Linked DNA regions of Ovis aries. The protein of the gene in region 1 binds, or shares a complex with, the protein of each later gene. Links are inferred from orthologs where the notes say so. Each region holds a gene or a part of one and is shown on either strand. Other genes may lie near its edges.

Region 1 (3,826 bases):
GCAGATATCCAAGCAGAATATTTAGGGATGACTAACTTCAGAAACATTACAATTATTTTGCTGAAAAATTAATTTATATCGTCAATATGACATTTATACTACCAATTTAAAATTACACTGCATCTTTATAATGCTTTGAATCATTGGTTAAAAAAACTTTATAAATGTATTTTTGTAATTCAGTAGTTGAATCACTATAGATCAAGTAATATCCATAGGCAGACTTCCCTTGTTTATAGAATCAGACATTTTAAGGAGATATTGTAGAGATGGCAGAAGTCACTTGAATAATTTTAGTTCACAGAGACAGATTTGGCAAAATAGAGAGTAAGTGGAACAGCAAAGGTGAGAACTCAGATACATTGTTTTTCTGTTGCATTGAAAGGGAACAAATAGATTTTAATGGTTGAGGTAAGTTATATAGAGGAACATACTTGTATTTTTGGCTGGACAAAGACACATTAAGAGATTTCCCCTGTGATAACAGTATTGCTGATGGAGATGCTAATAAAACTTTTCTATTTGAGGTTTGTTTATAAGAGCAAACCTTTGGTTTTATTGGGTAGCAGTAACTTTTACCTTAAGCAAGATATAAAGCTCAAATAATGACAAAGCATTAAAAGAAAAAGGCTGTTAATAGCTTTGTGTGATAATGGATAGAATTTATAACAAGGTAACTCTGACAGCAATCTTCCTTTTGTCCAACATCTTAAAAATAGGATATGGGTTGGGCAAATTGTTCTGTCTCTTACTTTTTGGTTTTTTAAAAATACTTTATATACTTTTGAAGTGCTTTCACATCTATTCTCATTTTATTTTTGGCAACCTTCTGAAAGCTCCCGCCCCCCCCCCCCCACCAGTAATGCCAACAATAACAGTTATAATAATAGGTTAAAAAATAAGTATCAAAGCTGCTCAGTATTCTGTTCCATAGCGTCATCTGGGCAGCTCTTTGGTTTTAGTCTCTCAGTCATGTCCGACTCTTTGAGACCTCATGAACCCACCAGGCTCCTCTATCCATGGGATTTCCCAGACAAGAATACTGGAGTGGGTTGCCATTTCCTTCTCTGGGCAGTAGTAGGAGAGAAATCCTGGAAAAGAGATCATTGTGCCTTGTTCCTCTGAGACTGAGACCTGTTATTGTGGTTATAGGAAAGGCTTTATGGTATAATTTAAAGGTACAGACTGGGTAACAAAAGCCAAAATCAGGTGATTTTAAATGTGAATACTCATTAACTTTCAAATTACTGCCAGGCAAATGATCACAGAACATAAGACTCTGAACTCTTAAGAGGGAGATGAGGTTAGGAGATATAACCGGTTAAACTAAGCAAGGAATAATAAAAACCAGACATAGCAACCAGTAATACTGTATTGTTGGGTCCCATTGACTGTTTTGACTGTAACAACATAGAAATTATAACTGAAAATTGTGTGGGCCTTCTATGTGTAGTGATCTTCTCTGTTAAATATGAATTGTATTAAATAGTCATAAAACTTTTGTTACAATATGCAGTCATCAAGTCATTCAGTTTAACTAAGGCAAATGATCTTTTTACAATGACCATTCCTTTAAACTTACATCTTCTAAAATAAGTTTTAGAGAGTTAGAAAAATGACTATTGTGTTAATTTGTTTTGAATTTGTAAAAACATGTTACCTTTTTTTTTTAAACTTTATTTTACTTTACAACACTATACCTATTTTAAAATGTGAGAAACAGTCTTTTTCAACAATCTTAAATTTTTATTTTCCCTTTAAAGCCTAAACTATACAGATCTGTGATCGAAGATGTTATTAATGATGTGAGAGACATCTTTTTGGATGATGGAGTCGATGAACAAGTTCTGATGGAACTAAAAACTGTGAGTTTGCCTTGTTTTTTTCTTTTTTAACACTCTTCATTGAAAAACTATACTCCCATTATTTTTTCATATGATGACCATTTGACTTTGTTGCAGGAAGCGGTGTAATTAGTGAAGGGTGCTTGTTTTGAATACCAGTTCTACCATACATTCTTCCTCTGACCTTAGGCAAACCACTTATATTTCAGTTTCCGTATATGTCAGATGGGAGTTCATAGTACTTACCTTTTAGGTTTGTTTTGAGGATTAAATGTAATAACTATCTGAAGTGTTTAGCACAGTGCCTGGCGATAGTATTAGCTGTTATTAGTGGGCAGTTTCATTTATGGTCTAATAACTTCATATTTACATTCCTATAAGGTTTTGTTTTCCTTTTTTTTGTCTCAATGTCTGGATATTCTAAAATGTGTATGCTGTAGAGATTGAGCAAGTGCTTGATCAGTTTCACATTCTGGAGTCGGATTTTCTCTATGGGCCAAGTATTTGGTTTATCATATATCCTAGTTTGGGAGCTCCTTTTCTGTCTCTTAGATTTATGTGGATTTAAGCAGAAAAATACAGATATTTTTATTTTATGTTTGTGTTTTCTTATTGCTCTAAGAGTCGTGAAATCAAGGAGTATTTTTACCTTACTGCTCAGAACTGTGATTCTCAAAATATGGTCCGTGGACTTTCCCACAGGCTCTTCCAAGGGGTCAGTGAGGTGGAGCAGTGCCCAAGTCTGAATAATCACAGTATGTCTCTCACATTTCCAGTAAAAGTTGTATTACATGAAAAAAGTGACCAGTTAAACTTGAAACTCAAATGAACAAGTGCTGTTCCTTGAGATAACTGCTCCATATGCAGCAGAAGTGCATTATGCATGCTTCATATTTTGATGCACTGACTTAAAAATATGCTTACTTTTAAGGTTGAGATAAGATCGTTGATATTAAGATATTCAATTGTTTGATATTCTGTAGTGAGATGTGTTAACATCGGCCTATCTGCATACTACACTGGACTCGCATTTTCCAAATGACCAATGCATGATGTTGCAAAATCCCTTCAAAGTTAAAGATAAATGAATGGATTTTAATCTAAGAATATGAAAAGTTAATTAGTATGTGGTCTCACATAGTACATTGCAGCTAACCTTTAAGAAACCATTACTTAAAATACTTCTTCCTTTCCCAGCTACTTAGCTGTGGGAAGACAGATTTTCTTAATATACGTCAGTGAAAACAAAGTGAATGCAGCAGATGAGAGAATCCAACTATTTTCCTTTAAGCCATTTCTCACTAAATTTTATTTGGAAGACATGGTTATTTTCATTGAAAGTATTTATGTTAACATATAATGGATACATGTTACTTTTAAGTAAGTAAAAGTTTTTTTAAAATCTTATTTAAAATTTTGTAAAAGCTCATTGAGGGACTTGCTTGGTGGTCCAGTGGCTAAGACTCCATGCTTTCAATGCAGGAGGCCGGGGTTTGATCCCTGGTCAGGGAACTAGGTCCCACATGCGGCAGCTAAGTGTTCACGTGCAGCGATTGAAGAGTGCACGTTCCACAACAGGGTGGAATATCTCATGTGCAGCAACTTAGACCCAGTGCAGCCGAGTAAATAAATAATTTTTTATTTTTAAAGCTCATTGAGGTCCTCATTAATTTGTGAAAATGATAAAGGAGCCTGAGACCAAAGAGTTTTAAAACTGCTGGCTTAGAGACTGGAAATTGAACTCCTTTAGAGCTATGTATAAATAAGAAATCACAGTTAGTGAATGCTATGTAGCACTTGTTGTGGTCTTATTTATCCATTCAACAGAAGTGTGGAGGCTGCAATTTAGCAACTTATAAATTTAAATAAAGCAAATCTCACTTGTATTGTGGTGATGAATATATCTTAGAATATATCTTAGAATATTGCAGCATCTGTAGGCAGCTTCTGTAGGGTTTTCATTAAAAGTCTCCCCATGTGAG
Region 2 (3,237 bases), on another chromosome or scaffold:
CCCGGAAATCTTCCAGCACCTCCAGGGATCCCGTCTGTGCTGGTGACTGGCCTCTAACCCCTATCTCATGGCTGTGACAACCTCCTCAGTCAAAACAGTAGCATGGTCTTCAAAAGGGTCCTAAAGCGGCAGAGGGCCCACAGCACCAATGTTTCTGCCCATTCTGGCGAGGGTCCAGAATCATTAGTACTTCTAAGCATCAGGCTCACATTAAGGCAGAGGGTAACACAGGGAAGTTGGCATCTTCTAAGAATCCACCCCAATCTGGCCCACTGGAGCCAGGAGAACAGCAAAGGTCCCAACAGGGAGGGCCTTCCTGACCGGAATGACCCGGGGACTGTTGGAGATGAGGTCTCGAGATGTGACGTGACGCGTCTGGTCTTCGTTGCACCGCACGTCCAGAGTGAACTCCACCGAGCACTCGGGGCAGAACTCTTCACATGTGCAGTCCTGAGGCGGGAGAGAGATAGCAGTGAGTCTGTGGAGAGACGGTGAAGTCTGGCTTGGCTCCCCCCTTCTAATGCCCTGTCCCTGAAGGTTCTTCATCTGATGAAAGGGTGGCCGCAGCCGCCAGTCTCTCGTCAGCTGTATCCATCTACACACCACTCTTGGGCTGCTAAACTGCTCTTCCTCAGAGAACCAAGGCACTAACAGAGGAGGCTTTCATCCCGCACAGTTCAGGATCCATGAGCTGGAACTAGCTTGGGAATGCAATTACCACTTAAAACAATCTAGGGGACAATAGAAAAAAGTACCTTTTAAGCTCCAGACTACTGACCTTTTCTAAAAAAGTTTCACACATTCACAAAAGCAGAGAAGGGTATAACAGACTGCCACCATGTAAGTATCACTCAGCTTTAATAATTCTCAAGTTTGCCATTCTTTAAACTGATTCTAGAAACACTCCCGTCTTAAGAGACTAGCTGCTACCATTTAACGTCAGGCAAGAAGAGAGGTACCAGAATGTAGTCAAGCAAACTGTTCTCCCCTCATATCAGTGAGGAAAATCCAAGCTACTTTTGACGTTTTCAAGATGATGAAGGAAATCTATGGGCCACCCCTGGCCAGCCTGTAATCACACACAGGTGGGACAGGAAGGCAACCTGGACCCCTGAGATGGAATCACTCTTAGAAATATGAAATTAAGGAATCAAAATGTAATGGAAGACAAAAATATAAAAAGGTACTCAACCTAAAAAAAAGAGAGAGAAGAGTCTGTTCAAGAGATCAAGAGACTAAAGAGGTGTAACAACCAAATGCAACGCGTGCATCACAGATCCACAAACAAAAAGCTAATGAGGGGGAATTCCTCGGCAGTCCAGCGGTTCAGACTCTGTCCTTTCTCTGTCAAGAGTGTGGGGTTCAAACCCTGGTCGGGGAACTAAGACCTGGTAAGCCAAGCAGTTCAGCCAAACCGAAAAACAATTATGGACATTTCGAAGATAACTAGGAAAAGCTGAATTTAGACTGTATATAGATAGTACAAATCCACACTAATTTTCTTAGGCTCCATACTGTGGTTAGGTAAGAAAATATCCTTATTTTTAGGACACACATGCTGATGTAGTTAGGGGAGAAGTATCATGGTTTCTGTAACGTTCTTTCAGATGGTTTAGCAAAAATCACAACATCTATATGAAACATAGAGCAAATATAGCGAAGTATCAACAACTGCAAATTAAAAGTGAAATGAAAATGAGTATGTATTCTATTTTTAACTTTTCTGCAAATTTTAAGAAAACACAAACGGAAAATCCACACCATCTTTATTCAGTAAATGCAATACTAGAAAAAAATTTAATGGAAGGAACTGTTTAGTCACAGGGCATGGACTAACTGCTCTTCAATTGGTGGTACAACTGTCTTTATCAATATATGTGATGTTTTATTTCTTAAAAACAGACTCTGGGGACATGAAGCAAAAATGATGAAATGTCAAAATGTGACAAGTGGTTTGGCGGCAGCATGCCTATTTGTTTTATTAGCTCCACACTTTGCTGGTGCTTGAATATTTAAAAAAAAAAACACACACATATATGGACTTCCCTGGAGGCGCAGTGGATAAGAATCCACCTGTCAATGCAGGGGACACAGGTTCAATCCCTGGTCCAGGAAGATCCCACATGCTATGGAGCAACTAAGCCCGTGCACCACAACCACTACTGAGCCAGCAAGCAGCAACCACCGAACCTGTGTGCCACAGCTACTGCCGCCCTTGAGCCTGAGGCCAGTGCCCGCAACAAGAAGCCACCACAGTGGAGGTCTGCACACTGCAACCAGGAGTATCCCCGCTCAATGCAACTAGAAATAGCTCGAGCAGCAACAAAGACCCAGCAGAGCCAAAAATAAACAATTAATAAAACAAACAGCAACACACATATACATTTACAAAATATATCAAATTAAGCCATTAGCACACCAAAATGATGTGCCCCTGGGAATACCAGAAAAGGGGTTGATTCAGGACCACATAAAGCCATCAAGAAGGAATACTCTCAAGCTGTCAACTAATGCAGCTCTGGTGAAAGGATGCAGGTAACCTAATCCTATCCTACACGTTCCCTAGTTCTGAGCCCATTAATGTATCGTGGAAGCGGCAAACATCACCCCAGGGGAATGGAGCCATGTTTCAGTAAGACAACCTATAGGGTGAGGCATAAAGCTGGCAGACAGCTGCTGCTCTGCAGGACAGTTCTCACTCCCTCTGCTCCTTGTCCTCACCCACTAGCCTTCTGTTGACGCTCTTTAGCCTCCTAGGCCCCTGTCCCTGGGAAGAGATGCTCTGGAGAACACTGCACACCAGATGCTGAAGAGAAACAGCTCCACCCATTCGGTATAAATGAGTATCCAGGTCTATGTCCCCTATGGCTAATGAGACTCTCTGATGCCCCTTGAGCCTCATCGATCTGTGGTCCCATCAGAACCAAAGACCGATGCCTGCCCTGGGCTCCAGACATCTCCATACTGTCTTTCTAAAAGCCGAAATCGAGATGGCTGGAAAAAATCTCCCTGGGAACTGAGTTCCCTGCCTCCCCCGAGCTCCCCAAGCACACAGCATACCCGGGAGTACTGCAACTTGTCCACAATGTCGTCACTGGTGAGAGGGATTAATCCTGGGAGACAGAGAAAAGCACACTGAAGAAGGCAGGGGCCAAGCTGGAAAGGAGAGTCCAGAAGTCCCCTTGGGGGTGAGGATGCTTCTTCCTCTGACACTGGCACAGCCCCCTCCCTGTAACT

What was found.
Region 2: GTF2A1 (region 1) and POLR2C share a complex: the UniProt entries of both Homo sapiens proteins name them as parts of the TBP-based Pol II pre-initiation complex. The link is inferred for Ovis aries from reciprocal best matches to the Homo sapiens genes GTF2A1 and POLR2C.

Annotation. Positions count from the first base shown.
Region 1 is NC_056060.1:90,688,276-90,692,101, reverse strand, and holds part of GTF2A1 (transcription initiation factor IIA subunit 1), read left to right. Parts: intron 1-1,763; coding exon 1,764-1,865; intron 1,866-3,826. UniProt on the Homo sapiens protein: TFIIA is a component of the transcription machinery of RNA polymerase II and plays an important role in transcriptional activation. TFIIA in a complex with TBP mediates transcriptional activity.
Region 2 is NC_056067.1:25,053,627-25,056,863, reverse strand, and holds part of POLR2C (DNA-directed RNA polymerase II subunit RPB3), read right to left. Parts: intron 3,114-3,237; coding exon 3,061-3,113; intron 451-3,060; coding exon 322-450; intron 1-321. UniProt on the Homo sapiens protein: Core component of RNA polymerase II (Pol II), a DNA-dependent RNA polymerase which synthesizes mRNA precursors and many functional non-coding RNAs using the four ribonucleoside triphosphates as substrates.